Linked DNA regions of Elephas maximus indicus. The protein of the gene in region 1 interacts with the protein of each later gene in a pairwise test. Links are inferred from orthologs where the notes say so. Each region holds a gene or a part of one and is shown in the gene's direction. Other genes may lie near its edges.

Region 1 (10,610 bases):
AATGGGAAGGAACAACTCAGAAAAGGAGAGTGAGAATGGTTGCAGAACTTGAAGAATGCAATCAGTGTCGCTAAATGGTACATGTAGAAACTGTTGAATTGGTGTATGTTTTGCTGTGTACGTTCTCAACAACAACAATAAAATAAAATTTTTAAATAACCAAAGAAAACCCTATGGGGGATAGTTCTACTCTGACACACATGGGGTCACCATGAGTCAAAATCGACAGCAACTGGTAATCCTTTTTTGGTTATGTGCATTAGAATTGTTTTTTTCCCAAATTTTAGCTTATCTTTTAGCTGCTTATATTGTCTTTTTGCATATAGAATATTCTAGAGACTGGAAAGAAATATACTTCAGTACAAATAAATTGGTTTCTGGTCTATACAGTTGTTTCTCGTGAGTTTGGTTATTGTGAGGCCGGCCTCTTTTATCCCTTCCAGCTCTCCCGGGTGGTGATGCTTTCACTGAGGAGGAGCCACAGAGTCTGTGTGGGCGGTCAAGACAAGACGCATGGTTAGTTTTGTCTTACTGCCTGCAATATATGCTAGGCAACTGAGGGAACCAAAGCACGGAGCATGAAGTTGCTTGGTCACCATGAAGTCAGAACAAACAATAATATTTGGGGAGAATGCTTCCAATAGGTAGCCCACTGGATTGTTTTTCTCTACTGAAGGGGCATTTCTATCTTGAGAATGAATCCAACACTGTAAAACCAGAACAGTTTCAGTCTCATCAGTTATATTCTAGCCGTAGCTTCCTGAGATTGCAGCCTGATCCGGGCTGTGGACTTGGAAAAGCCCTCAGGACACGTCCACAGATGGCTAATTTCATTTATTCTGTTTTAAAGTATGAGCTTTGGCTTCAGAAATTGTTCCTTTTCCTTATGTGGTTTCCAGGTTCTGTAGGTTTACCATTCAGACTTGGAGCTGACTACTTGCCAGTGAAAGGGTTCTGTGACCCCTGCAGTTTCCAGGCGTTCTCTGCCATGTCTCTGTTCCTTGTAATCCAGAATATGAAGCAGTTATTTACTGTGTCAAAAAGAGCAATGTCTGAGGAATTTGGAGTTCTTTTCTATGCTACTACTTTTCTAATTTACTGTGTAGAGGAGCCCTGGTGGTTAAAGAGCTAGGCTGCTAACTGAAAGGTTGGTGATTTGAACCCAGCAGCCGGGAGATGTGGCTGTCTGCTTCCATAAAGACTACAGCCTTGCAAACCCTGTGGAGCAGTTCTGCTCCGCCCTGCAAGGTCGCTGTCTTAGTCATCTAGTGCTGCTATAACAGAAATACTACAAGTGGATGGCTTTCACAAAGAGAAGTTTATTTTCTCACAGTAAAGTAGGCTAAAAGTCCAAATTCAGGGCATCAGCTCCAGGGGAAGGCTTTCTCTCTCTGTTGGCCTTCTCATCAATGTTCCCCTGGACTGGGAGCATCTTTGTTCAGGGACCCCGGGTCCAAAGGATGTGCTCTGCTCCCAGCATTGCTGTCTTAGTGGTATGAGGTCCCCATGTCTCTCTGCTTGCTTCTTTCTTTTATATCTCAAGACATCTCAAAACACAATCCAGTCTTGTAGATTGAGTCCTGTCTCACTCACGCAAGTGCCACCTATCCTCCCTCATTAACATCATAGAGGCAGGATTTACAACATACAGGAAAATCACACAATACCAGGAATCATGGCCCAGCCAAACTGATGCACACATTTTTGGGGGACATAATTCAATCCATGACAGTCGCTATAAGTCGGAATCTGCTCGATGGCAGCAGGTTACTGTGTAATGTTGGATAAGCCATGTTACTTTTCTGGATTGGGTCTTCTCATCTGTAATTGAATTAGATTTTTTTTTAAAGCAAGATAGCCTACCCACTTTTCCTTTCAAATGAAATTTTATGTAAAATCACAAAATATTAAACTGATAGAAGCCGAGCTGGCTTATCTCTCCAAGTTGCCTCAGAGGCACCTTTGCTAAGCCCTGCGTACATTTCCAACCTCCTTACCCCCCAAACACCTGCATCTCCGGCCATACTGAACTATTTGGAAACTCTTGCATCACACTCGTTTCCGTCTCTGTGTGCCTGCCTGGAGCCTGGTTTAGCCAGCTGTTTCAGCTCAAGTCGCACCTCCCTGGCCCTCCTGCCCATTTATCATGCCTTCTCTTTCTGTGCCTCTATGAACTGTAGTTTTCTATTTACACATATTTCTTCGCTACCAAACCGAGGGCTTCTAGACCTTACCCCCCTCCCCCCAAGTCATTTGAGTGTACATCAGTAATGGAATGAAGAAATCAATGAATGAGTTATGCTGAGAAAGCTGAGCTAGGTCAAAATCTGGATTGGCATACTACCAATTTTTTTTCAACAGCTTTGTTAAGATATGATTCACATCTCATACAATTCACCCATTTAAATTGAATTCAATTCAGTGTTTTTTAGTATATTCACAGGGTTGTGCAACCATCCCGAGAATCTAATTTTAAAACACTTTTTTCTTCCCTGAAAATGAAACCCTGTAACCCTTAGCAATCACTCCCATTCCCCACCACCCCCACCCTACTCTGCAGCCCTAGGCAACCGCTATTTTCTCTGACCACCAAATTTAACATAGGTGAACTGGTCATTAATCTTCAAAATTTGGTAGGGAATCGACTTGACAGCACTGGGTTTGTTTGTTTTCTAGCACTGCTTAACCAGCTTGTACTGTAGAAACTCAGATTCAGGACCTGAAGCAGCAGCCCTAGGGACTCTCTGATCCAAAATTTATTAGAACTAGTTCAGGAGCCCTGGTAGCACAGTAGTTAAAGCGGTCAGCTGCGATCTAAAAGGTCGGCGGTTCAAACCACCAGCAACTCCACGGAAGAAATATGTGGCAGTCGCTCCCCTAAAGATTTACAGCCTTGGAAACCCTAAGGGACAGTTCTACTCTGCCCTATAGGGTCGCTATGAGTCCGGAATCAGCCCAACGGCACTGGGTTTGGTTTGGTTTGTAGTTCTACGTTTAATAGGATGGTTGGTTTGGTCTTGCTTTTCCCTATTGCTGTTGAAGTTAGTCCCCTCTAGCTATTTATATTTTGGAGTAAACAAGGTAACTGAAAAACTCAGTCTCTGTTAGCAATTGTGGCAAGTGCTTGGTAACGATCTCTTCTGGGAGATTAAACCCATTGCTGTCCGGTGGATTCCTACTCATAGCGGCCCTGGAGGGGAGATTAACCTTAAAAACAACAACAAAAATATACTTTTTGCTGTGGATGCCGGTTCATAGAGATCCCATAGGACAGAGTAAGCTGCCCCATAGGGTTTCGAAGGCTGTAATCTTTACAGGGAAACCCTGGCGCCGTAGGGGTTAAGAGCTACCGCTGCCAACCGAAAGGTCCGCAGTTGTAATCCGCCAGGCGCTCCTTGGAAACCCTGTGGGGCAGTTCTACTCTGTCCCGTAGGGTCGCTCTGAGTCAGAATCGACTCGACAGCAGCGGGTTATCTTCACGGGAGGAAACTGCCAATCTTTCTCTTGGAAAGCGGCTGCTGGGTTCAAACCACCGCCATTTCGGTTGGCAGCGGAGCACTCTAATCGCTGCGCCACAAGGTTTCCGGAGGGGAGATTACCCTGTTGCTGTCGATTCCGACTCATAGCGACCCTATAGGGCAGAGAGCTGCCCCCTACGGTTTCCAGGGAGCGCCTGGTGGACTGACTGCCGACCTTCGGGTAACAGCCGTAGGTCTTAACCAGGCCACCGGGGTTTCCAGGAGGGGAGATGAGCCCCTGGAAAACATCTAGGGTTCGGAATTACGTGAGAATATCATGAAGTAAGGATTAGGTGAGTACTTTCCCTGCTTTTATTTTTAACAAGATTCTTCCACAGGATCATGTCTGGTTGGTGCACTGCGGGGAGACACGCGGGAAACCTCGAGACTCAGAGCTCGCTTCTGGAGCAAAGCCGCGTTTTTCAAATTCGGTCTCGGTCTACCGAGTTGCCAAGCAATGGCGTCGCTCCGCGCCGTCGCGTGCGCAGTGACGTCGCCGGCGCGGTGACGCGGCGCGCCGCGCGGTGCACGCTGGGATATTTAAGTCCTCCGCGGCGCGGAGCCGCGATGTCTCCGGCGGCTGCGGCGGCTGGAGGAGGCGAGCGGCGGCGGCCGGCAGCCGGCGTCAGGGACGGCCGGGGCGGGGGCTGCGGCGGCCCGGCCGGGGCGGCGCTCGTCGGCCTCTCGCTGCTCGGCCTCTCGCTGCTCGGCCTCGTGCTGCTCCTGGTGCCGGCGGCGGCCGCGCTGGCCTGGCTGGCCGTGGGGGCTACCGCGGCCTGGTGGGGACTGAGCCGCGAGCCCCGGGGTGCGCGCGCCTCGGCGCCGGGTCGGAACGCGCGGCGCCAGCGGACGCGGCCGCCCTCGCCGCCGGCCAAGCCGGCAGTGAACGGCAGCCTGCTGGAGCCGCGGGCGCTGCTCGAGGGGCCCGCCGCGGCTGAGCTGCTGCTCATGGGCAGCTACCTGGGCAAGCCCGGCCCTCCGCGGCCTCCGCCCGCTCGGGAGGCCCGGGACCCGCCGCAGGGGCCCGGCCGCCGGCCCGCCGCCCTCCGCCCGGCCGCCCGGCCCTCGCCGCCGGCGCCCTCGGCCGGCCTCGGCCACCGCGCGCAGCCCGGGCCCCCCACGCCTGTGCTCCGAGCCTCGAGGAGGCTGCCCCGGCGGTAGGGCTTCCGGGGCCCTTGTCGGTGTCTGTTGGGGGGCGTTAAGGCGAGGACTTAGGTGTTTGGTCGTTTCGTTGGTTTGCGTTCAGTCGGAAGCGGCTTCCCTGTGATTTTTGCCTTCTTTAAACGCTTGGCGTGTCCGTGGCCTCCTGCCCTCCTCTCCGCTGGTGGAAGGAGATGTGAGGCCAGCGCTATTCCCCGCCCTCCCAGTTCTTAAAACCGCCAGAATTTTCGTGTAGTATAGATTCAGCGGGGAGCCCTGGTGGCTCAGTGGTGAAAGCGCCCACTCTGACTCAAAGGTCCGCGGTGTGACCCACCAGCCGCTTTGCGGGAGGGAGATGTGGCGGTCTCTTTCCGTAAAGATTAAGCCTTGGAAACCCTGGGGGCGGTTCTCTTCTGCCCTGTAGGGTCGCTGTGAGTGGGAATCAACGGCAGCGGGTTTGGGTCGGTTTGGGGGATTACAGATTTAGCAGTATATTTGATAAAGCACTAATATTTCTATTTCGAGTGAAAATTACTTTTTCTTTCAAGCATAGTCTGTAGTGTATTTTGGTCTTTGGACCAGTGAGAAATTATATCAGTTAGCAGAACTCGAAGTGTTCCAGAGAATTCAAATTAAAGAGACATTTTTATTTAGTCCCAATAGCTGAGGTGATACAGGCGAATACAAAAATTTGGTGAAAATGTTAGATTCTTGATAAGTACATTTGTTTGAGAAGGTGAACATTTAGGTGTGGAAACTGGTTAAAAATGTTTGGCTTTGGGTGTATTCATTACTGGAGTTTTAGCGTAAAAGACTGAAAAGATTGAAGAATTCTTGAAGAATTCCTCCCTGTGCACCCTAACACACACTTGTATGCCATTGCATGGGCAGGGGTTCCAGCTTCCCTAGCAAATTGTTGAAGTCCCTTGTTGAGACAGTTGCTAAGCAGCTGCCAATTTCTACCCTTAAATAGAATGGGGGAAAGTTGCCATAGAAATATTGTGTTCTGTGTTAGAAAGAGATTTAAGCTCTCTGAAAGACGTCCAAACCCACATGGTTGTTTGGCCACTTTAACTTTCTGACATTCTTTTATACTTCTTTGCTTCCATGGCGTATCTCCCATTCTTTGCAGGAATTGTGGGACTTTGCCAAATCGGTTTGTAATAACACCTCGGAGAAGTTACCCAATCCAGCAGGCCCAATATTCCTTCCTGGGGGCACTTCCCACGGTGTGCTGGAACGGTTACCACAAGAAGACGGTGCTGTCTGCACGTAATTCCAAGATGGTGTGCAGCCCAGTGACAGTGAGGATTGCTCCTCCTGATAGCAAGTTGGTTCGTTCACCAGTGTGAGTATTGTGGAAAGAACAGATTCCCTTTTGTGTCCACTTTACTCTCTGTTACTCTTGTGTGGTTATTCCTTTGACAACTCTGAAGGAAAAAGAAGAAATAACTGTTTATTTGAATGAGAGAAACCCTAAATTGTAGCCATTGAACCTTTTTTAATTTTTTGACCTTAACGGTGGCTTAAATCACTAAGAGCAATTTCTGTGAATGTATAAATTACACTTTTGCTAGCTTGGGTTTTGATTTCCTATTATTAGCATCTATGCTAAATGTGTAGTAATTAAAATATTTTAATACTAGATTTTTGTTTTTCATTGCAGACCAGAGCAGATAATCAGCTCAACACTGTCCTCACCATCAGGTAATATTCCAGACCCATGTGCAAAGGAGACTGTACTGAGTGCCCTGAAGGAGAGGAAGAAAAGAACAGTGGAGGAGGAAGACCAAATATTCTCAGATGGCCAGGAAAATAAAAGAAGGTAATAGGCCCAGCAGACTACTAAACAGCCTCCCTGTGTACTCCTGGGAATTTGTTGAAATACAGATCATTCCCAAAAAATATACAGAAGCCAACTTTAGTTTATGAACCTTCATATTCCCTTCTCTGGCTTTCATGAAGGAGCCTGGTAACAAAGGCATTAATGCTGTTCATTTCCATGGGTAGATAAATTTTATAGTCTACCTTTTTTATAAGTATTAGAGATAAACCAACAAGTATTAGCCATATCAGCCTCACACTTTTGATACTAGCATGTTTAATTTTATATTTGAGAGAGAATGCTCAAAGTCTTCCACTTACAATCTTGTGTTGTTGATTTATTTGGCCAACTACCTGTTTAAAAGTCATAATTGTGCTAAAGGAAATGCTTGCCAAAGAAGAGTGAAGACTAGAGTGTGGTAGATTTACCAGTAATGAGAGTAGAACCAATTTCATTATTTGCCTTATGTGATACCTTAACGGAAGTACAGTAAACAGTCTGTTTCCCAAATTTAAGAGATGAAGTGGCTAGTCATGATATAGAACTACTTATGGCTTTCCAAGGAATCAGTAAGGACTCCGCACTTTTTTTAATTTAACAAATATTAATTGGGTACCCACTGTGTGCCAGGGCCTGTTCTAGGTACTGTGGATAGAGCAGTGAATAAAACAAAGTCCCTACCCTCAAGGGGCTTTCTTGAGGGAGATAGACAAATTAAAAAACAATGAAATAAACAAGGTGATTGAAGACTATAAGTGTACAGGGGAGGGGTACAAAACAAGGTGTATATAACAGAAGGTAATGAGAAGGGGGTTTCTCTGTATAAGGTGAGATATCAGATGCCACACCTGAAAAATATAACCACCGCCACAATTACCTAGACCAGATTGTTCATACCCGACAGTTTCAGAGTTGATCAGCTTTGATATTGTAGATTACTAAATTAAGTAGGGGAAATCTTAATAAATGGAAATATACTTGTATAATATAGAAGATGAGGTGATGGTGACTGGAAATGTGACTTATGGTCTGTGGCAGGTGAGCAGTTTGAGCTGGTGTCACCCAGCTAAGCAGGAGTAGCAGGGGTTGTGAGGATGAAGAGGAGGCAACAGCTATTCTTACAGTCCACACAGGTTTCTCATCTTCTCCAGGGAGGTAATTTTTCTTGACTCTGGGAAGTTCATAACTGAGGATCCTGTATTATTTTCCCCTAATTGGAATAAGTAGTGATCACGTGCCGCCTTGCATAGGCTGTTCTCACACATGACCGGCGAGGGTTTTCCCGACAGACTTACCACATCAGCCTCTGGAGCACCATGGGAGTGTGGCTTGGTCCTTAAAGGTTTTTGTTGCTTGTTTGTTTTTTTTTTTAGTTTGTGGGTGGCGATATGTTAAATCTGTGATTGTAACACTTCAGTGTGAAGTTAGCAAGTAAAGAACCAGTAACACCTGACTAGTTCAAAAGGTCTTGACGTAATTCATATTTTCCTTATTATCTGGACAATCTTAGATTAAATTGACCTCTCGGAATCCTACGGCTTTGAAGCAAACTTTTTCTTATCTAGCTGGAACACATGCTCCCTAGAGATACTATATATGCTGTAAGGATAAAAAGTTATTTTATCAAGAGTTTTTTTTATTTGCCTCAGGCGCCATGATAGCAGTGGAAGTGGACATTCAGCATTCGAGCCCCTGGTGGCCAATGGAGTCCCCGCTTCATTTGTGCCTAAGTAAGTGAGAGCCCATCTGGATGGGATGGATGTAGACTATTTTGAAAAAGGGTATTACCAGAGCGTTGCCCTGTAGATTTTCCTCTTTGCTTTTGCATTGCATTAGTAGTTCAGGTTCAGATCTCTCACATCAGGTAGGAATATTTTGAGTAATGTAACACAATTAACTGTCTTCTAATTCCACTTAATGTGTTTACATCAATATGGGTGAAATGTGCCAAGACTGATGGCCAAGTATATAAACAAAGATCACAGGTGTTTTGCGATGGATAAAATCCAGCAATATGAAATTTACGGTAAATGTTAAGTTTCTGGGAACTTGATATCAGTATATTAGATTTTATTTGTGTTTTGAGTTTAAAAATACATTTGAGGAGGAACTGAATGGGAGAGAAAGTGGCTGAGAAATATGTGTGAGAAAACTCAGGACAGCTTAGGTGCTGGCTTTGAGTCCCCAGTATCTGGCTACCCAGAAGGCTGATGTGCACCTCCTTCCTGACTCGAAGAACAGAGACCAGAGTGCAGCAGGGAAGTTGTAGTCCTGCTTTACGTCTCCTGTTCGTGTTCAGGCTGTCCATGCACTGTAAGAGGGGATTCATTCTGAGTGAAGCAGATAAGATGTTAAAGGGATTTGGAGCAGCCAAGCAGGTGGTGGTGATGGGTGCGGGGTTTTGGAAGGTACAGAAGTACTAGCCCAAAGGACAAAAACTTCAGGGGAAATGAAGAAATAGGGAGGTGCATAAAGGTCTCCCAAAAACTGAAGGACTGTCACATGAAAGAGGGAAAGCAACTTGTTTGGTTCAGCTCCAAATACAAGCCACAGGTGGAAGTTAGAGGAAGTAAATTTTAATCTAGTATAAGAATAAGCTGGTGCCTGGTTGAAATGGATCACTCTAGGAGATGGTCAGTTGTCTACATTTTAATAGAGGTTGGATGACTAGTTCTTGATAAAGATGTATAGGGAATTTCTGTTTCAGTTGGCAGTTTAGGAAAAATGGTTCAGCTTAACTCTGAAATTCCAATTTTTAAAAACAGCTTTATTGAAGTTTAATTGACATATGGTAAAGTGCACACTTTGATAGGTTTTGACATGTATATACATGTGAAACCAGCACTGTACAGTATAATGAACACATCACATCCATTGCCTCAAAAAGTTTCCTCTTGTCCCTTAGTAATTTCTCTAGTCCCATCCTGTTCTCCCCACTCCTGTCCCCACAGGTTAGTGTACATTTTCTAAAAATGGAATTGTGCATTTAATCTTTAAATATTTGGCTTTTCCTTACTGACTTTGTTGGATGTATTCAGCTAAATTGTTAACAGTAAAACCAGGAATGTGTACATCTTCCTTTCAGTTAAGAAAGGTGCCGTGACCAGATTGGATGAAGCCTCCAAAGAGTGCTGCTTTTAGTAGCACGTTTAACTCTCTTTTTCCCTTTTATTAGACCTGGTTCTCTGAAGAGAGGTTTCCATTCCCAGAGCTCAGATGACCACTTGAACAAGAGGTCCCGCACCTCGTCTGTGAGCTCCGTGACGAACACGTGTGCGGTTGGCATCCCAAGCTCCAGCCGTAATGCCATTACCAGTTCCTATAGTTCTACTCGTGGTTTCTCTCAGGTACAGTAGTTCTTGTGGTGCGGGAGGAGTGGGTTCCCCAGGTTGAACTGGGTAGATGAGAATTAATTCATTAGCAAATGTTTACTCTGCCAGATGTTGGGACAGTCTCTAAGCTAACAGAACCCTTGAATGATAAGTGTAGACCAATAGAATAGATAGAAAGCCTGGAAACAACTAATGCGTATGTGGGAACCTGCTATGAGACAGCTTGTGTTGCAGTTCATGAACAATTCAATAAATGGTATTAATTTTACTAAAAAGGTAGATACGTGAGAAACCTGTTTCCTCTAGCGATTTCCACTTCTTTTCCCATGCCTGTTGGTTCATGTCTTTTGCCCCTTTTTCTGAAGGGCTACTGGTTTTGTCTCATTTTCAAGAGCTTTTCATATATTGTAGAAACATGTCCCAAATAAATAAAAGATTTAAGTGTGAAATAGACACCATGGAGGAAACCGTTAGAGGAAGCAGGCGTCATGCATTGCTGGTGGGGGTGTCAGTTGGTACAGTTTGGGGCATTAGAGATGCAGGGGTCCTGTGATCCAGTAAGTTTACTTTTAGGAATTTATCCTATATAAATACTTAAAGACGCATACAAGGATATTGATCGTAGCATTATTTTCATATAGCAGAATATTAAAAACAGTGTCAGTGTACTTTTCAGGGAACTGGTTGAATAAATTACAGCATATCCGTGAGGTAAAATCCTGTAACTATTAAAAAGAATAAGGTGGTTTAATAGGTCCAAATGTGGGATGACCTCAAAATCATAAAAAAGCAAGG
Region 2 (10,610 bases), on another chromosome or scaffold:
TTCCATATTACATTGGTATTCATGTACCACTTTCTCTTTTAGAAAACACCTACCATTTCAGTATACAGACAGCTAGATAATAAGATAGAAAACTCTAGTCATGACCACACTGGCTTCTGTTTACATTTGATAGGAAACAATGATACAGTTTTTAAAGGTGAAAATAACAGAAGAAATTTCATAGAATTTAAGTCAAAGTAAAGCTATCTCAGAAGGTAGAATTAAGCTTTAAAAAAGAGTCATTTCCACACTTAAAGAGCCATGACGGCTCTGACAGCAAGTCTGCTTGTTCAATGCCACACCCTAAGGAGTGGATTTGTCATCTAACAATATTGACTCTAGGGTCAGATTCCAGCTGCTAAGGACACGTCTCCTTAATGTATGCATATAAAATCCTACTTTCGTATGTGGCTATAGTAGTTAGTAGACCAAGATCTTTTTTTTAAAAAAATGACCCATCTTCAGTCTGTCCAAATTCATTAGTAACATATCACTTCAATGGGAAGTTTTAAGTATTTACTGAGATTGTTCACTTTAAATTCCAAAATAATGACATTAATGCTTCCTTTAAAAATGCCCATCTTCAAAAAGATAAGGAGTCATGGGGAAATTACTTTGAATTTTTTATATATTTCAACTTACTTTTTATTCCTCTGTCCCTATAACTCCCTATTTTAAACTTAAAACTAGTAGATTTAGGAAGAACTAAGTTTTAAAGTTTCAACTTTAATGCTCTGATTATCAACTAAACCCCAGGAAGCTGGAAACAATTATTTCTATGCACAAAAACCCTTCTAAGACATAAAGCAGAAACTCAAATGGAAATCAGCTCTTCCTGTATGTCAAAACACTTATGTGTGACTGTTTCTTTATGCGTCTGCTTCTCTGAGCCAGAGTTTGGGGAGAGCTTTCTTGCTCAACAACTTGATTTGCCATTTTGAAAAGTTTCCTTTAGAGGGAAACTTTCTAAGTACAAAAACTTATTCATACTTTCAGCTCTGTGAGATTAACATTCACTTACAGGTTTAGCACATCAATTCCTGACATCAGAAGGTGACTTGGTGGACTGAAAGGAATACTGGAGTAATGATCAGCAGTTATGGGCAATTTTTAGGTCCTCTCTCTCTCTTATTAGCTTTTCAACTTTGGGTTAATTATGTACACTCATCTGAGCTTATTTTTAAAAGAAAATAATAAACCTGCTGAGGTTGTTATTTTTTGCAAATATGCATTGAAAGTTTAAGCCTGGTGATAAGCTTTAGATCAAAGAGAAATCAATTAAGATTCAGCTATCATGGAGCTAATCAACTGAGACCTAAATGATTGTAATACAAAGAAGCAAGTGATATATTCTATAATGATAAATAATATTTTTGAGTGCTTATTATGTGCTATGTACCCTTGTAAGCACTTAACCTGTATTATCGTACATAATCATTCTACAGACCCAAAAAAGTCAGTCTTACTATCCCTGTTGATAAGTGAGACAAGCATGAGAGGTTAAGTAACCTGCCTGGGGTAGTATATAATTGTAATGAAGCCAGATTTGAACTCAGAGCAATCTGAATCTACAGCTTGCCCTCTTAATCACCACACAGCACTCCCTCTTGAGGATGAATTTTAAACTCATTAAAACTATATTCAAGGCCCCAGACAAATAGCCCAAAACACCTTTCAACCCTATTGTCTATGAGCTATCCAGATGAGTCATACTCCAGCTAGATGATTCCAGTACAATATCCCACAAACATATTTTGCAAATTCTATATCACTGGGTAACCTTGGTGGCGTAGTGGTTAAGTGCTACAGCTGCTAACCAAAGGGTCGGCAGTTCAAATCCACCAGGCGCTCCTTGGAAACTCTGTGGAGCAGTTCTACTCTGTCCTATAGGGTCGCTGTGAGTCGGAATTGACTTGACGGCACTGGGTTTGGTTTTTTGGTTATATCACTGGATCTATCTGGAAATCTTGCTTTCTACAACTGACTTGAGCATTCTAACCAGTTGCCATCAAGTCGATTCCCACTCAACGCCTTCTAAAGGATAGTAATCTCTACCTTCACTGAAAAATAATAACATCTGTTGTCTATACCACTTGCCTGTCCCTTGTGGCATTCTATGCTCAAGTAGATGGTTAATTTTTAATAGGGTTCTATCTTAATTCTTCAATCAGATTGTAAGTAACCTTATGGCAAGGACAATGTCTTAAACTTTATTGTTTTTCCCACACTGCAATTATCTATTTATTTGTCTGGCTACCTCATTAACTGACCATATCTTTTTTCATCTTTATATCTTTAAAAACAAAACCCATTGCCACTGAGTCAATTTCGACTCATAGAGACCCCATGGAACAGAGTAGAACTGCCCCATAGGGTTTCCAAAGCTGTAAATTTTTACAGAAGCAAACTGCCACAACTTTCTCTCGTGGAGCAGCTGGAGGGTTCGAACTGCTGACCTTTCAGTTAGCAGTCAAACACACTTTAACCATTACCTTCAATCATGGTATACTTGCTACAAAAATAGGTGTCATAAATATTTGGTGAAAAAAATAATTTTATTTATTTGAGTATCTAGGCAAGTACCTAGTGCATAGCTGTTGCTCAATAAATGCTAGTTATTGTTATTATGTCTCCAAATTTTACTCAAAAATAGAAAATAACATACTTAAAAATCTGCTTGAATAAAAGATTCCAACACTATAAATGACACAAATGTCTAAAAGACAATAGTGTGAAACCCATTTAATCAAGTGCAACCATTGTTAATGTCAATAGTAACAAGTTTGTTTTACTCATCAAACATTATTTCACAGGTCACATTATCAAGTTCTACTCAGAAATAGGAAATCAAAATTATCTACCTAATAGCAACAGATTCTTACAAAATCAGACAAATTCCAAAGACTGATCACATAGCATCATTGTTGGAAGCAATAAAGTTTGATAATATGTAAGGAAAAACCTTTATCCACCTATCTCCAGGCATTCTCATACCATCTACAAAACCCTAGTTGCCTCACACGAAGGTCAGAGCAGCCATGGTCTATGGCCAATCTGTTCTGTAATTACTGCCTTCTTGCTATGTGTTGGCCATCATGATCCATTCTGGGTTTTATGGACAAGGGATTAGGCACAGACAGAACAGTTAGGAAATCATTACATCATTATATTTAATTACAATGACCAGAGATATTTGTAATTATCCAGAATCTTCTCTTTCCTTAACTCATTTAATACAACAGCCATGTGTGATGTTCCGTTTTATGGATAAGGACACTGAAGTTTCAGAGATATTCAATGATGTTCTGAGATCATCGGTGAGTGAGCACCTGGTAGCAGGACTCTGATTGGAATCTTTTGGTCTCAAATTTCATCCATGTTCCACTCTTGGCAGGTAAAGATGGGAAGAGATGCAGGCTTTGGTCCCCACTCTGCCCCAAACTAGTCCTGGGGACCTTCGGCAGGTCATTTAATTTTTGACATTTTCATTTTTTCATCTACAAAATGGAGGGGTTGAGCCCAGTAATCTAAGGGCTGAATAGACAAAGGTTCTATATACAGACCTTTCCAGCTTTAAGAGTTTAGGTCAAATCATTGTTTTCAGTCAAACTCCTAAAGAAATTATCTCTGCAGACTTACGTAGAGTGGAATGAAAATTCAGCATCTGGGGAATCACTATTTTGTCCACAGATTTTAAGGCTTTATTAAAAAAAAAAAAAAGATACTTCGAAACCTTTTTGAAATACTATAGTAGCTCATTTTAAAAAGTTACTTTTATAAGGCTTGTATCTCATTAGTTAATTTTCTGTTGTTAAAGATTTCCTCATTCCGAACTGTTAAGGATTTCGTACAGCTTCATGAATAAAACAGAATTGCAGGAGTCTCAGAGAAAATACAAGTCCGGTCTTAAAGTCCTTAGTAATTAATTGCATGCTCTTGAGTAAAAAAAAAAAAGAAAAAACAGTTGCAGACCTTAGTTTCTAGGTCTGAAAAATAGGTAGATGGCTCCCTGCAAACCTAACAGTAAAGTTTGCCATCAAATGAGAAAATATGTGAAATGTGTTTGAACTCTTTGGAAGGAAGTTGCCGCACGTATTCAGTGGTAATTATTATGAGCTCACAGTGTTCGGATGCCTTTTTTCAATAACTTTCTCAGTTTTGAAATATTATATGGTGCTAGATTTTTTTTTTTTAATACCTATAGTGAGCATACATTTCGTTTGCCAGAAAGAGGGAAGTATATCATGGAAAATCATTTCTATCCTAATGGAGCATTATAGCACATAATATCACTGGGGGGGTTACAATTGTGAATCACTTCTTGTGGGTTTTCAACTAAATAAAGGCAATCTGCCCAAGGGGGAGAAAAAAAATCTACAAACCACAAACCCCATCCAATCAGGTAAAGACAGATCAGCCTTCAGGCAAATCAAACGTCTTCATTTAAAGCTTACCTGGATTTGGCATTCTGCCCAGCTTTTTCAAGTATCTTTACAATATACTTTCACAAACAGTTAAAAGCATGCGTACTGAACAGTATACCTTTTGCAACGTAGTATTAAAAACAAAGAACTCTTTAGTCCAGGGAAGACAACCATTTGGGGCAAAAAGGAAGGTTAGTTTCCGAGTTGAGTTAGCGACATGTAAATACAGGATTAGTGGGTGGGATTGAGGTGTGCTCTGGAGCATAAATAGAGGCTCAGGCTGCAGTGGCACAGTCTGACTTTGGGACCGCATCCTGGCTGCTCGCACAAGGCAGGTGGGTGGGGAAATACAGGTAAGACTCCTCGCAATAGCTTCAGAAGGGCACCTGCTAGAATGAGCTTTGGCCTCTGGCTGTTGTGGAAAGTTGCCAGTAATCAGCAAGCAGAGAAGAGTGAGGTAGCTCTAAGGGCAATGAGGTGGAATGTAGAGAGGGCAAAATGGAATTTCCACCTACTGCTTTCTTGGGCCACTGTGGGGTGGGGAGGTTTGAGCTGACAAGGTGTTACTTTCCCAAGCTGGTTCAAAGTAATGATTTCTCCTTTAGGAAACAAGAGGTTTAAGGTTGGGTGAACTCTAGGAGTTTGCAAGCCTGGGAAAGTGCCAGCTCACCCAGGGATTTCCTTAGTCACCACTCTGCTTCTCTTCTGCTGGCTAAAACCCAGGCCCACAGGCTCCTCAACTGTGAAACGCAGCTCAGATTGCCCACTTGAAATGTATTATTGCTAATTAGAAAACAGTGTTCTTTATCTGGTGTAAAGATATTCTTGTTGCTTCTCCCATCTTGCTTTCCGGAAGCATTTATGAATAAGAACACCAAAACCTCATGTAAGTTCACTCCTTGTTAAATACAAGAAGACCAGGGATAAAGTGACCAGCAAAAATGCTGGTTTTGTAGGGTGTTGTGTGTGTGTCTCCAAATTATCAATATCTTCCACAGTTAGCATCCTGTTTTGAGGGGGTTTATGCAGGAAGTTTGCAGAGCAGGGTCTATTCAGATTAGGAAAACGTGCAGACAGAATCTCAGAAAGTACCCCAGAGCAGGATGTTTGCACAGCAGGATTTATGTTAGGCTTCCTTGAGTTATCCTGCCATAAAACACGTGTATTATATCAGTAGTTCCAACCTGAAAACCGGAGTTATTTTAAGGGTTCTAATAGCCACTTGCCCAGGGAGAACTGTCAGTGGACTAAGTAAGTAAAATGCTTCACAACCAATTTACTACTATTTTTTCAAATGTGTACAGATGCTGTTATGAATAAAATACATAGTCAAATGTTGATAAATACTAATTAATAAATTCAAAGCAGTTATTTGCCATGATGTATTTCTGACTCAATTAATATTTCAAAAGTACAGTTATTCTCACAGAGAATTTTTTATTATTATTATTACATTAAATAGAAATCTGCATAATCAGAAGGCTGGGTATTATTGACCTGTATTACTCTGTCCTGTAGGGTCGCTATGAGTCGGAATCAACTCGAGGGCAGTGGGTTTAGTACGTTTGAACTGTTTCTGCAGAATGTTGCTGTTAGGTGCCATTCAGTCGATTTTAACTCAGGGCAACTCCACGTGACAGAGTAGAGCTGCCTCATAGGGTTTTCTAGGCTGTTACCTTTCTGAGAGCAGATCACCAGGTCTTTTTGCTGCTTGGTAAGTTCAAACACTCAGCGTTTCAGTTAGCAGCCAAGCGCACTTAACCATTGCACCCCCAGGGCTCTGTGTAGAATGCTAGGAAACAAAAGTTTTATTGGCATTTCTGCATCTTTATGGGTATAGTAAATGAAGAAAGTATCTCCCAGCTTTTTGCTTTTGTATTTTTTAAGACAGTTTGTGGCAATATACTATGATTGGAAAATAATTAGTGAGTTTAATACTGGGTACCATCTGGATTTGGTAACTTAGCAAGGGCCTTTTTTTTTTTTTTAATTTGCTAATATTTAGCAAAGATTTCCATTTAGGCTATCAGATCATGAGAAACTTTCCCCCTTACAGACACTAAAAAATGATAGCCTATTGGGCTTCCTTTGCAGAATTTATTTGATTTCATTCAAAACCTACACCAATATTAGAGTTAGGTGCTATAGTTTCATATTTCTGTTTAAGTAATTTCCGTATCCAGCTTTACTAGAATTCTGTCACCAGCCTTACATTTTATGGCCCCTGGATAATCTTACTGACTTGTTAATGCAACTAACTCGCTTTGCTAGCTAGCTCACTCCTTCACTCATCATAGATCTTCTCTTGCCATTCACTTTCCTGTCCACAGGCCTCTGCTCCAGCAGGAGTGTAACTTTTCCTAAGAATTGATTGTGGAGTACTGGAAAGGAAAAAAGAATTTGACAAAGAGACACCATGGGGTTTGTTTTTCTGTGTTATGAGTCACATAGAATGTTTTGTACATTAAGGTGCATGCCACAGCCACCTATCCGTGCAGACCAGGATAGAGAGCCAAAGAATTACATCACTGGAAGGAATTAGCATTGATGTACTCTACTCAACTCAGAGCTAACGTAGAGTTTGCATCCATGTCACACTAAGGACAGAATTTTGTGGTGCAAGTCACCATTTAAGTGACAAAGCTGGCAGGTTCTAAATAAAACAGGCAATCATTTTACTCAATTCTCATTCTTTAATTGCAATGTCCCCATCTTAGCTATGTATGTTTAGGGTTATTGTCTCAGGGTGAGAAGATGGCAACCAGCACTGCAAAACGGCAAGACCCAGAAGCCTTAGTTCTGGGCCCATCTCATAAGTCTTTTTTCTCTTTCTCTGAGGTTCAGATTCTTCATTTATAAAATGAGGCAGTAGGTAGGGGGGAAAGAGGAGGTAACCCTTATGGTGCCTTCAAGAACTATAATTTTTAAACATAGTATTTAAATATAAATTCCCTTTACTACGAGTGTACATTCATATACAGTGAAAGCTGTGAGAGTGGACTGCCTTGTTTTTCCAGGTCTTCCAACTTTTCTGCATTTAATAGGGTGCTATCTTACCACTTTTGTATCACTTGTTTTAGTGGAAAATATTTGAGTGTTCCTTCTCTGACAGGTTGCTGCCTTACACAGGTTCCTGCTCTCACAGGTTTTACTAGAGAGAGTGATCCTTGATGGCGAAGTGTTTAAGAGCTATGGGTGCTAACCAAAAGGTTGGCAGTTCAAATCCACCAGCCACTCTTTGGAAACCCTATGGGGCAGTCCTATAGGGTTGCTATGAGTCAGAATGGACTCGACGGCAACAGGTTTGGCTTTTATATATACATATATATGTATCCTGTTGGTGCAATGGTTAAAAGCTCCACTGCTAACCAAAAACTTTGGCAGTTTGAACCTACCAGCTGCTCCGTGGGAGAAAAGACCTGGCAATCTGCTCCTGTAAAGATTTCAGCCTAGAAAACCGTATCGGCCAGTTCTACTCTGTCTTATAGGATCTCTATAAGTCAGAATCGACTCGACACCAATGGGTTTTATATATACATATATGTTGTTTTTGTGTGCCGTGGAGTTGATTCCAACTCATAGTGACTCTACAGGACAGAGTAGAACTGCCCCATACGGTTTCCAAGGACCAGCTGGTAAATTTGAACTGCCAAACTTTGGGTTAACAGCCAAGCTCTTAACCACTGTGCCATCAGGGCTTCATATCTACCTATCTATCTATTAAATATACATATATTTTCTCCATATCAATCTGTATCTATATAGAGATAACCCCAGAAACCCAGTGCCATTGAGTCGATTCTGACTAGAGATATCTACCTCTATATAAATCTATATCTTTATACGTATATCATATGGTTCTATATCTATATAGAGATGGATAGATAGATAGGCAGGCAGACAGACACACATACTGCATATTCTTAGAAAAATCCTGTGGAAGGTAGCTTTTCACTCCAATCACATGTGCTCAGTCTCAGCAGAGCCTCAGTTCCTGTTGTAACCCACTGTTGTAAGGCAATCTGAAGATATTCAAGATGGCTAATGCATTTTTGCTTTATTAACTTCTCATTTATATTTTTGTTTTCCATATCAGATTTGCCATGAAGAAGATATCAGTGTCAGCATTCTTGCTCCTTGTGGCCCTCTCCTATACTCTGGCCAAAGATACCACAGTCAAACCTGGAGCTAAAAAGGACTCTCAACTCAAACTGCCCCAGACCCTCTCCAGAGGTAGGAATCCGCTTCTTGTTGGTTTCCAGTCACGGCTTTGTTGGAAAAGATGTCCTAACTCTTGGTACTGAGACTTGTGTGATGAATATATTTTGGTATCTATCCTTGTAGATTTATCATGGTTTATATCTATTTCTACTTTCTCCAGAGATTTTTCTTCTTTAGTACTGAGTGTATATCTATCCCAGTTTTTACCATTGTTTTTCAACAGCTTTAGGTCTAAGATTATAATAGCTTTAAATATTCTGGTTCATTTTGTCCTAGGCTGGGGTGATCAACTCTTCTGGATTCAGACATATGAAGAAGCTTTATACAAATCCAAGACAAGGTAAAGACAAGAACTCTGGGCAAAACTCTCAAGAGCACCACCTAGTGATATTTAACTATACATGAAATCCTACTCATCGAAAATTATTCAATCTCTTTGTTTCTTAAAGCAACAAACCCTTGATGATTATTCATCACCTGGATGAATGCCCGCACAGTCAAGGTAATTTCTTCTTCACAATATGATTTTCTTTTATAGGTTTTTAGATTTAGGGGCAGAGTTCAGATCATTCATCTTTGCGTCCTTAACACCTAGCTCAGTTGAATAAAAAGGCATATTTTATGTAGTAAAAATGTGTTTTAAAGTAACTTCGGATATTTCCACATGATTTTTATTAACCATTTGTGCATATTTTGAAAAACAAGTTTTAGGGTTTATCCTTAACTTCTTTGTTTTTATTACATCCCACATCTAATACATCAGCAAACCCTGTTGGGTTTATCTTCAAAATGTATCCTAAATCTAGGACCGGCTAAGTTCCCTACACTTAGAAAAGCTCCACACTTGGTTTAATGGTTTGCTGTCACTACTTTGAAAACTCTTAATAATTTTTGCACAAAGAGCTCGCATTTTCATTTTGCACTAGGCCCTATATATTATATAGCTGGTCTGGCCCACACTCAACTGCTGACTCTTGCTACTACCCTGGTCCAAGCCAACATCACATCTTGCCTAGAATACTTTAATGGCCACCTAAATGGTCTCTCTATAGTCAGATTCTCCATGGATGAGCCTTTAAACACAAATCCAGTCCTATCACTCATGTGCTCAAGTGGCTTCTCATCACAGGTAAAATGAAATCCAAATTTGGGGCCATAGCCTACAATAATAATAATACATAATCTAATCTGGTTCCTGCCTATCCTTCCATTCCTGCTACTCTCCCCTTGCTCTCTCCACACTACCTGGCCTGGCCCTAGTGCTGTTCCTCGAACATTCAAGTTCATGCCCATTTCAGGCCTCCTGCTCTTGCAGTCAGTTCCCTCTGCCTAGAGTGATCTACTCCGTAAATCTTAGAATGGATCTCTCCCTCACTTAATGTCGCCTCCTCAGGGAAGTCTTCCCTGAATTCCTCATAGTTTCTAAGCCCCTCGCTTTATTTTTCTTCAGAGTACATATCCCCAACCTGAAATTGTTATATATTTACTTACTTGTTTATGGTCTGTCTCCCATACGAGCATTTCAGTTCCATGAAGAAAGCACATTGTTGGTCTTTGTTTTACACTCCATCCCCAGTGCATAGAACAGTGCCTACTGCATAGTAGCCATTCAGTAAATATGGACTAAAAAAAAGTAAGCGAATGAATAAATGAATGAATGAATGAGTGAATATAAAAAAAAGCAAAGGTAGTCAATGACATAGATATTATTTCACTGATCATTTGCTAAAAGGGCAAAGTAGAGCACTGTATTAAAATACAGTTCAACTTAGAATGTAACAGAGAACAGTGGTTTTCACCGATAATGATATGGTACTCGATGACTGCTCATTTCATTATAGCTTTAAAGAAAGTGTTTGCTGAAAATAAAGAAATCCAGAAATTGGCAGAGCAGTTTGTCCTCCTCAACCTAGTGGTAAGTTTACTTTTCACCCTCACTGACATTTCTCCATGCCTCATTATCAG
Region 3 (10,610 bases), on another chromosome or scaffold:
ATCAACAATTGTGAAGACGGTGCAGGACCCAGTGTCATTCTGTTCTATTGCACACAGGGTCACTATGAGTCGGAACCGACTGGATGGGCACCTAACAACGACTCTCAAACAGCAGATGAAAACGGAAAGGAATTTTTAAAATATTTTAAGCATTAATTTCTCTATGTGTGGTAACAGTCCCTGGGTAGTGCAACCGGTTATTGTGCTCAGCTGCTAACCAAAGGGTTGGTGGTTTCGGTCTACCCAGAGGTGTCTGGGAAGAAAGCTCTGATGATCGACTTCTGAAAAATCAGCCACTGAAAACCCTCTGGAGCACAGTTCTACTCTGACACACATGGGGTCACCACGAGTCAGAACTAACTTGATGGCAACTGCGGTGATTTTATGTATGCTAATATAAAATATGAAAGATTCAATTTCGCAGAACTTGCAAAATTTACATGAAAACCACTACTACACAATACTTGTAGCTCTGTACCACTGCCACTCAAAACAGTAACTTTCACTCCTCTACTTGGCATTGTGCTAAATGCTTCACACGTCATATTTAATTTCATAAACTTAAATCCAAACAAAGCTATTTATGTATCTTTTCAAATTATTAAAAGTTCTAACTTCAGAATTATTTGTAAATTCAGATTTTTGTTGCCCACAGATTGTAGTTCACACAATTTTCTAAAGGACGTAAACTTAAATGACATTCAAAAGTTCGAAAGCACACCTAGTTACACAGTATAACTTTGAATTTTATTCCCCTTTCTGAGAGGCTTCTAAGGCAGGCATGACAAATCAAGACTTAATTCTTAATTCTGGAACAGGTCAAATCTTGCCACTACCCCTATGGGGGAGTGTGGGTGGGCACTTAAAAAACTGATTGTTTTTCTCTCACTTTCAATTTTCCCCGCTTTCAATAATTTTTTTCACTTGATGGCAACTGATGGTGACACAAATGATGCTTTCAGTAACGAATTAAATATAAATCGCTAACGTGAGTAATTCCCCAAATTTACAAACCTGTGGGCTTTGGGATTCTTTACATGAGTTTTATTTTAGTAAGCAATTTAAAATCTTTATGTCCATGGTTCTCTGTTCACGGTTCCTCTAGTACCTCTGTGTAATAAAGGAATTCTTTTCAAATTAGTCTAATTTTAAGGACGAAGCTCCTTCATTAAAACATGCAAAAACAAATTCTACTCAGGGAAAAAACAAACAAAAAACTAAAGAACATCCATCTATTTTGTTATACGAAAAGACTCCACACTTAAAAATTGGCACAGCCACGTTTTTACCCCCACCAGTAAGTTGTCCATTTCCAGAAAGGAGAAAGTTATGTGAAAATTTGAGTGAAAAAGAGCTACATAAAGATACTAGTGTAAGTGGCTCTTGGGCTAATTAATGGGAAGACAGGGACACATTTTTGAAGGCTAAGATCGTGCTGCGGATTTCCTAACGAAGACGTGATGTAATATAGGAGGGTGGCTGTAAGAGGAAAACGGATAGGTTGACAAAGACGTGCAGTTGCCAGAGCGCGGAATAAGCCTACGGCGGCAGACAAGTGGGCCACTGGGGACAGGGAGGGGTGTATTCCACAAAGGATGATTTCAGAGAGTCGGGAAGTGTCCCCAAAAGGCAGAAGGCATGGGGGGCCGGAGGGGAGTGCTCGGAAGGGTAACTGGGAAAGCAGGGTGACATTAGGCGTGCGGAGCCGGCAGGGGGCAGAGCAGGCAGGATGTCACGTGGAGTGGACTCTACGGGAGCCGGGAGGGTTGCGTGCGGACAGGGGGGTCTTTCCCACCGCCTGAAACACTGCGTTACTCACAGGAGTCGCGGACTCTTCTTGCCCTGAGCTGGAGACGGGGGCTTCGCGGCCTGGGACTGCTGCCCTGGGGCGTCGGGAGGCCTGGCGCTGGGGCTGCTCCTCCGCCGGCGCGGATACTCGGCCTTCCTCCGGCGGGACACAGCAGCGGCGGCGGCGGCCGCAGCGGCCCGGCCCCGGTCGCGGCCTCCCCTCAGCACGCGGCTGCTAGTGGTCCCCGCAGGCGCCGCCGCCGCCGTCGTCTCAGGGGGCCGCTGCTGGGGCTCCTCCGGAGCCGCCTTAGCCACCGCCGCCTCTCCCCCTTCCTGGTCCTGCTGCTCCGGGGGTCTCGGCTCTTCCGTCTCCCCCGGCATCGGGGCTCGTCCGTCCCCACCCCCTCGTCCCAGGCGGCGGAGGCGGAGGCGGCTGCGGCGCTGCTCCCCCCGCCCCCTTCGCCTCCCGGAGCTTCGGGCTCACTCTCACCCTGCGTTCCTGTTCCCCCTCCCCTCCTCCCAGCTCCGAGGGAGCCCCCCCGCCCCCTGCCACTCACTGCCCGCAGCCGCTGGCGCCGCGCGCGCGCCCGACACGGACGCTCCACGGACCAATCGGAGAGGAGGAACGGCCTTGTGACCCCGCCCCTGTCGGCCTCTCACGCAGCGGCGTACCGGGTTTCCTCCCCCACCCCTTTCTTTGACCAATCAGGAAACGGCTTCAAGGGAGCGCGCGAGGTTTCCTTCCCCGCGCACCCACTCTCACCGTTAAACGGCTGCGTCTCGCGACAATCCGAAAGTGACCTTCCCCCCCCCCCCCCGCTCCGGAGATCAACGGGCGCTAGAGGTGGTGGGAGGGGCAGGTCTCGCGAGGGAGGCTAGTAGGAAGAAAACGCACCTCTTTCCCCGCCTGGCGCGCACCCTGGACTGGCTGCGCGCGCACCTGCCTTAGGAGCCGCTAATGCCACCAGGGCTCTTTCTAGCCTCAATTCGTGGAAACAGTCTGGTCGTTCTTCTGCCTCCACCCTGAGTCCCACTTTCCTGTCTTTGGCTTTTTTATCCCCAGCGTCGCCAGGTCTTGCACAGTGACGGGGGACTTTTTTCAGCTGTCGCTTCTCCTTTAAGAAAAAAAGTCCCGTCGGCTGCCGGATGAAAGTCTCAACAAAATGGCGGTGGTAGAACGGAGGCGGGGTCGTGGGGGTCAATGAGAGCCCGCCTCTTGGCGCATGCGTATGGTTAACTTTCCCAAAGGTACCCTGGGATATGAAGTCCTAGCTACTTTGGCCTGCGGCTAAAAAAAGAAACCGAGACGGAGAGGGTGCTGGTGCTGGTGACTGGTGCTCCATGGGAAAAGTAGTTTACTCTCCGCGGTCCGATTTTACTTTTCTAGGGACTCGACGGCACTGGGTTTTAGGTTGGCAGTGCCTCCGGGGTGGGGCGTGACGCCTGCGCAGTGCCAGCCCAAGTGGCGAGGGAGCTGTTGGTCAGCGAGGGTTGTTTTGGGCTTTTTCTTTAGCGTTGGCGTAATGCTTCTTCCCTTGGCATCTCCCCCGGGGCAGGCTAGGGTTCATGTCTACATTATTCGTGTTGCCATCCTGTTTCTGATCTACTAGCCTGTGGACCTCTGGAAAGCAGGAACTGAATCTGATTTGGCTAGGTCCTGAGGGGCCTAGCGCAATGCCTAGCATTCAGTCAGCTCTTAATAAAAGTTTGTGGAACGAATTATAGAATTGATTCTCTACCAGACGTTGTTAGGGCATCAAGAAGCTGGCGACTGCTGCATACCTTTTGGGTTGTGGTTCCTGAGATGGAGGGAAGGGCAAACGGTTGTTAGCGTGTCTCAGGTGACCTCCCCAGGGAAGCTGAAGGTCTACCTCATGCTTCCTGTCCCGAAGACACCTGCGGTTTATGAATGTTTCAACTGCACAGGAAACACAGAATTGCAGCTTTGTGAGAAGTTATTTGTCTGCCCAATACCGTGTGTAACTAAATTGTCCTGATGCGCCAAAAGGGAGTTTCCATTTGCTCATTTCTAAGTTGCAATCAGTGATGCAGTTGGCCTCTTGCATCTCGTTCTTTCGACCGTTATACTCAAGGAACGATTTGAAAGAACAGTCCTTTAACTCTGGAAAATAAAGCATCCGAGGTTAAAAGCCCCAGAAGGATGAGAATGGAAACAGGATCTGGGATCCTATTCTAGATTTCACGTTAAAAATTCAGTTAAACTGTAGATGCAGTGCAGTTACTTGCCAGCCAAGTGCTGAAGTGCGGTTTTCCTTCCAGTATTTTGGCTCAGTTACCACTTAAGGTTAGGCAAATGTTTTATATTCTCTACTGAGTGTTTTGCACTTTCATAGAACTAATGTCATTTTCAGTTGTAAAAACTGTTTGATAGAGTGTGGATGGAAATTTTTTCATACCCATGCTTGCAGTGAGCAGGCTCTTGGAACAGCACTGACATCCAGTGGTTACTGGGAGTAATGCAGAACGGGAATCTTTTAATTAAAAAAACAAAAAAGTCTTACAGACACAATGGAATGGAAAATGAATGATCTCTTTAGATTAACCTAAAAAGAGAACATTGTGTTGTAGAGAAAAGATGATGGACTTTGAAGTCAAACTGGATTATAGTACGTAGCTAACAAAGCTACCTACTAATTCTGTCAAGCAAGTTACTATCCTTGAACTTATTTCACCGCTGGTAAAAATGGTGATAATACTTATTTCACAGGACCCTAATTGTAGTTCTTTACATACTGCCTTCTCTGACTCATTTGGTAAATTTTTATTTCATTCAAGGTGAGTAAAATCTCAGTGGTAAAAAGGTGAAAGTTAACCTCAGTATCACTTTGCAAAGAAACTGCTCTAAGGCAATGCAGCTAGGCAGGAAGTTTGCTGAATCGAGATGTCACCAGTTTAGCACCTGTTGTCTTAAACCTTCCAGTTTCATTTTTCTTTTTTCATGCTGTTAGCGGCTGTTGAGTTGGCGCTATTCATGGTGACCTTATGTATAACAGAACAAAACAGTGCCTTATCCTGGACCATCCTCACAATCGTTCCTATGTTTGAGCCTATTGCTGTAGCCACCATGTTGATCCATCTCATGTTGGATTTCCCTTTTTACCATGGGGTCACATGAGTCAGTGTTGACTCAACAGCAGCCAACAAAAACAGTACCACTTTACCAAATATGATCTTTTCTGATGACGGGCCCTCTATAGATGTTTGACTTTTGAACCCCTGAAATAAGCCAGGCCCTGGCAATGCAAATGTGAATAAACATCAACCCTGCCTTTTAAGGATTTACAATTTATTCAGGAAAGGGATAAGTGTAATTTCTGAATAATGAAGTAAAAAAAAAAGACAACAAAATGAATTGGGTGCTGGTTAGCTCTGATGGAAATTTTATGATCACTGTGCCTCTATTGTCACCCACGTTCACAGAAGAAAGCAAGTTTCCTGATGTACAGTCACAGTGGGACCCACACTGAGAAAATACACAAGCACAAATCTGCCATTTCCATGACTTAAAGATGAGTTCTGGCATGTAGTAAGTAGTGAAATTTTGCTAAATTATTTTGACTCTTCCTTGCCAGTCCACCACAGGAATTCAAATCTTACAACCTGCCTATGTCCTATTTCATTTTAAAACTGTGACCTACCAAAAAAAAAAAAAAAAAATCACCAAATCAAAAGAGAGGAAGTGCTAAGCAAATACAGGAACCAGAAAGGGTTATAGAGGCTGCTTCATGCTGTCTCATTCAGTTCCTTTGTGGTCCTCTTCTTCAGCACATGCAAAAGCAGTTCCTTACAACCTGTGGGACCAGAGTATCTTGGGTGTGTGACAATGGAAGAGTTGGGTGAGTGGAGCTGCTTTGAGGAGAAACTGAGGGAATGAAGACTTGGCTGCCCTGTCTATGTATGGTGGGATGTACTTCTAGCCAGATTGACAGCAGTACTCGGAGATTTTATTTTCACTTCTCTGCTTTCTTCGGCCAACCAAGAGTGAGACATGAGGAACTATGATTGTTTGGGGGAAAGCCAGGTTCACTCTTTGTAGTAGCACAACAGAGAGCTTGGTGCTAACCACAGGGTAAACTTTACAGAAATACTTTTGGACTGAGTCGTGATTGAAACTGTCATTTTTAACATGGGCATTTTGCCCCTTGGGAGATACAGGAGATTATAGGGTAGTCACACAGCTACAGGGATGCGATTTGGGGGGAAGAAAGGAAGAAAGAAAATGGAGAAGGGGAAAGGGTGTTTTGAGGAAGAGAAATGGAGTCGAAGCACAAGAATGAGGGATCTGCAGAGGCTGGAGAAAAGCCAAGGTGGTTTCGTTTTTGTTTCTGGATTAGTGTTGAATCAGTGATTTTGGCACTAAGCTTTTTATTCAGAGGAATTCTGAAGGAACAGATTACTATGGCCTACAAACATGATACCTCCTCCCACCACAAGGCAATTAAAACCAGCAGTGGAACGATTAGCCACTTTAACTGGGGAGGTCCCGCTTTCAGACCTTTGGAGTAAAGCCTATCATTCTTGGGACTTATTTTTTTAGGCTTTGCCAATGTTTGTTCCAGCATCCTTGCTGACACCAAGTCACTCCCTAACCTTTACCCAATTTCCAAGCTGTATTAATTCTACAGTGTCCTGGGCTTTAGCGTGTTGCAAGTGTAAACAACAACAAAAAACACATATTGGACATTGTCCTTTTTTTTTTTTTTTTCCTAATTGTTTTGGGGGTGTGATTTGAGGGCTGGGCACATAGAGGATGCAAGAAAGTCAAATAACCAAAACCCACTGCTGTCGAGTTGATTCCAATTTATAAAGAGAAGACCGTTGAATGAAGAGGAGAAGGTGTTGTTTAACAAACATCGAACTATTGTTGATGTAAAGTCTATTTTGATCCTTGGGGATAGATGCATTTTGGACTTGGGGTAGAATCCAAATTCTTATCCTGTGTGTGAGGGTTGGGGATATCTACATTTCTGCCAAGTTCCAGTAGTCTCTCTGTCTCTCTCTCTCTACTTTTTTAAATTTTAGGCATACCTAATAGTTTTCATGTAGGTTATTCAAACAGGAACTAATGTTTATTCAGTGTCTCAGGCTAAAGTGAGGCATTTTTATATATGCGAATCATTCTAGGGTCTGCAGCAACCCTCTGTAGTAGGTAATGTTCACTTTTTTTCAGATGAGAAACCAGGAAAAAATGAAATCATTTCTTCAAGGTCACTCTCAGGAGCATCTGACGCCAAAGCCAATTAAGTTACAAGGCATTTCTCCTTTTTTGAAAAGTGCATTGGCTCAGGTGTTCCCCCCAATGGAACAACCCACATAATAAAAAACAAGTAGATTTGCACAGTTTTGCATTTCCTGAGCAAGACGAATGGTAGAGAAATCTGGTCTAGAAATACAGAAAGTACCAAGCAGCCTGGAAGCTAACGTTTGTGTAGATTATCCAGATGGCTACACCTCAGTAGCTGTTGATGTCGACACCTGAACAGCTTCTTCATATTGTCATCAGCCTAATAGCTACTTGTAAGTCTTCGGGTGGGTCCCTCTTCTCCTCTGCAGGCATATAGCACTGAAGGCAGATTAGCACAAAGGGGCAGATATTCCCTCTGTAGAACTTCCTAGGTTAGTAGCTTTTATCTACCCAGAAGATTTTACCTAAATTCTCAATACACAGGTGTGCTACATAAAGGGAACCAGTAGCAGACTGTGAAATTGCAGCTCATGGGGACTCCTGAGAGATCCCACTTTACTCCTTTCTTCTTAATGTTGATATTTCATTACTGGAGGGGGTTTGGAGCTATCGGTGAGATAAAGGGCTATAGAGTTTTCAGTCTTGTCCCAACCACTATCTTCCCGTCCCCTCTGCCACCACCACTGGTAGCCCTGTATTTGTCATAGTGAAATTAGTCATGTTCAAATTACAAAATCTGGCAAGATGACCTCAGTATGTTGGTGATATGTGGACTCACAGAAAACAGGAAGAGAAAGGCCTGTTAACTCACAGCCCAAAAGGGAGAGTTTTAATAATTCTGGCTAGCTCGTGCTTCTAAGCGTAACCCCTACTCTTAGTGGTATGGTTTACTTCTCTTATACAGGGTCTCCCCTTTCCCCCAGCCTTTATTGTAAATGACTTTTTATTTTGAATCCAGAAGGATCTTTGACTTCTGGTTGGAGCAAAGCTTAGAAAATACAAATGAGACAGAATAAAAATTTGGAATTCCTGAATTTTCTCAACCTGCCTACCAACATTCTAAGACAATAAGTCTCACTCTCTTTCTACTTTAGTTTTTTTCTTTCCTTTTTTTTTTTTTATTGTGCTTTAGATGAAAGTTTACAGAACAAACTGGTTTCTCATTTAACAGTATACGTGTTGTTTTATGACGTTGGTTAAGAACCCCATGACGTGTCAACACTCTCCCTTCTCAACTTTGGGTTCCCTATTACCAGCTTTCCTGTTCCCTCTTGTCTTCTATTCCTTGCCCCTGGGTTGGTGCACCCCTTTAGTCTGTTTTGTTGTATGGGCCTGTCCAATCTTTGGCTGAAGGATGAGCCACAGGAGTGACTTCATTACTTGGCTGACAAGGTGTTGGGGGCCATACACTCAGGGTTTCTCCAGTCTCTGTCAGGCCAGCAAGTCTGGTCTTTCTTTTTGAGTTAGAGTTTTGTTCTACATTTTTCTGCAGCTCTGTCCGGGACCTTCTGTTGTGATCCCTGTCAGAGCAGTCAGTGGTGGTAGCTGGGCACCATCTAGCTGTACTGGACTCAGTCTGGTGGAGGCCAAGGTAGGTGTGGTCCGTTAGTCCTTTAGATGAATCATTCCTTTGTATCTTTTAGTTTTCTTCATTTTTTCTTGCTCCTGAGGGGGTGAAACCAGTGGAGTATCCTAGATGGCCATTCACAGGCTTTTAAGACCCCAGATGCTACTCATCAAAGTAGAATGTAGAACATTCTCTTTATAAACTAAGTTATGCCAGTTGAGCTAGATTTTTCCTGAGACCATGGTCCCCACAGCACTCAACCCAGCAATTTGGTCCCTCAGAGAGTTTGGATGTGTCTATGGAGGTTCCATGACCTTGCCTTGTACAAGTTGTGCTAGCTTTCCCAGTATTGTGTACTGTCTTACCTTTCACCAAAGTTACCCCTTATCTATTGTCTGTTTAGTGTTTTCCCATCCCTACCCTTCCTCTCCCTCGTAGCCATCAAAGATTATTTCTTTTTGTGTGTAAACCTTTTCATGGGTTTTTACAGTAGTGATCTCATACAATGTTTGTCTTTTTGTGATTGCCTTATTTCATTCAGCATAATGTCCTCCAGATTCATCCATGTTATGAGATGCTTCACAGATTCATTGTTGTTCTCTATCATCGCGTAATACTCCATTGTGTGTATGTACCACAGTTTGATTCTCCATTCACCTGTCGATGGTCATCTAGGTTGTTTCCATCTTTTTGCTATTGTGAACAATGCTCCAATGAACATGGGTGTGCATATTGTTTGACAACTCGTATTTCTTTAGGATATATTCCTAGGAGTGGGATTGTTGGATCATGTGGTATTTCTGTTTCCAGCTTTCTAAGGAAGCGCTATATCGTTTTCCAAAATGGTTGTATCATTTTGCATTCCCACCAGCAGTACGTAAGAGTTCCAATCTCCCCACCGCCTCTCCAACATTTGTTATTTCCTGTTATTTTGATTAATGCCTGTAATACTGGGGTAAGATAGTATCTTGTTGTGGTTTTGATTTGCATTTCTGTAATGGCTGATTGTGAGCATTTCCTTATGTGTCTGTTGGCTGCTCAAATGTCTTCTTTGGTGAAGTGTCTGTTCATTTCCTTTTCCTAATTTTTAATTGGATTATTTGTCTTATTTTTGTAGAGGTGTTGGATTTTCTTGTGGATTTTAGAAATTAGACCTTTGTCTGATTTGTAATAGTCAAATTTTTTTTCTCAGTCTCTAGGTTCTCTTTTTACTCTTTTGGTGAAGTCTTTTGATGAGCATAAATGTTTAATTTTTAGAAGATCCCAGTTATCTAGCTTATCTTCTGGAGTTTGTGTGGTTGGTTGTAGTTAGTATCTTGTTAATCCCGTGTATTAAGGCTTCTAGTGTTGATCCTATGTTTTCTTCTATGAACTTCAGAGTTTTTGGCTTTATATTTAGGTCTTTGACCCATTTAGAATTTGTTTTTGTATATGGCGTGAGGTATGGGTTCTGTTTCATTTTTTTTTGCAGATGGATATCCAGTTTTGCCAGCATCATTTGTTTAGGAAAAAAAAAACATAAAACTGTCTTTTCCCCATTTGATGGACTTTGGGACCTTGTCGAAGATCAGGTGACCATTGGTGGATGGATTTACATCTGGGTTCTCAATTCGGTTCCATTGGTCAATGTATCTGTTGTTGTACCAGTACCAAGCTGTTTTGACTACCTTAGCTGTATAGCAAGCTCTGAGGTCAGGTAGTGTGACTGCTCCCACTTTTTTTTCTTCTTCAGTAGTGCTTTACATATCTGCGGCTTCTTCACTTTCCATATAAAGTTAATGATAAGTTTTTCCATCTCTTTGAAGTATATCGTTGGTCTTTAGATCAGGATTGCATTGTATTTGTAAATTGCTTTGGGTAGAATTGTCGTTTTCGCAATGTTGAGTCTACCTATCCATAAGCATGGTATGTTTTTCCATTTATATAGATCTCTTTTGGTTTCTTGCAGTAGTGTTTTGTATTTTTCTTTGAATAGGCCCTTTACATCTCTGGTTAGATTTATTCGTAAGTATTTTTTTTTAATTGTGCTTTAAGTGAAAGTTTACAAAT

What was found.
Region 2: the proteins of nuclear envelope pore membrane protein POM 121C-like (region 1) and AGR2 interact in binary tests that used the Homo sapiens proteins (3 or more experiments, as listed by UniProt). The two-hybrid records come from large-scale screens. The link is inferred for Elephas maximus indicus from reciprocal best matches to the Homo sapiens genes POM121 and AGR2.
Region 3: the proteins of nuclear envelope pore membrane protein POM 121C-like (region 1) and LPXN interact in binary tests that used the Homo sapiens proteins (3 or more experiments, as listed by UniProt). The two-hybrid records come from large-scale screens. The link is inferred for Elephas maximus indicus from reciprocal best matches to the Homo sapiens genes POM121 and LPXN.

Annotation. Positions count from the first base shown.
Region 1 is NC_064830.1:110,389,701-110,400,310, reverse strand, and holds the start of nuclear envelope pore membrane protein POM 121C-like, read left to right. Parts: upstream 1-4,037; 5' UTR 4,038-4,085; coding exon 4,086-4,675; intron 4,676-5,790; coding exon 5,791-6,006; intron 6,007-6,324; coding exon 6,325-6,483; intron 6,484-8,132; coding exon 8,133-8,213; intron 8,214-9,658; coding exon 9,659-9,830; intron 9,831-10,610. UniProt on the Homo sapiens protein: Essential component of the nuclear pore complex (NPC). The repeat-containing domain may be involved in anchoring components of the pore complex to the pore membrane. When overexpressed in cells induces the formation of cytoplasmic annulate lamellae (AL).
Region 2 is NC_064826.1:77,634,391-77,645,000, reverse strand, and holds the start of AGR2 (anterior gradient protein 2 homolog), read left to right. Parts: upstream 1-4,573; 5' UTR 4,574-4,615; intron 4,616-4,636; exon of another isoform or gene 4,637-4,777; intron 4,778-5,561; exon of another isoform or gene 5,562-5,675; intron 5,676-8,520; 5' UTR 8,521-8,527; coding exon 8,528-8,657; intron 8,658-8,921; coding exon 8,922-8,985; intron 8,986-9,094; coding exon 9,095-9,147; intron 9,148-10,486; coding exon 10,487-10,560; intron 10,561-10,610. UniProt on the Homo sapiens protein: Required for MUC2 post-transcriptional synthesis and secretion. May play a role in the production of mucus by intestinal cells. Proto-oncogene that may play a role in cell migration, cell differentiation and cell growth. Promotes cell adhesion.
Region 3 is NC_064825.1:120,440,074-120,450,683, reverse strand, and holds the start of LPXN (leupaxin), read left to right. Parts: upstream 1-5,654; 5' UTR 5,655-7,274; coding exon 7,275-7,326; intron 7,327-10,610. Other genes in the region: E3 ubiquitin-protein ligase ZFP91, read right to left, coding at 1,820-2,169. UniProt on the Homo sapiens protein: Transcriptional coactivator for androgen receptor (AR) and serum response factor (SRF). Contributes to the regulation of cell adhesion, spreading and cell migration and acts as a negative regulator in integrin-mediated cell adhesion events.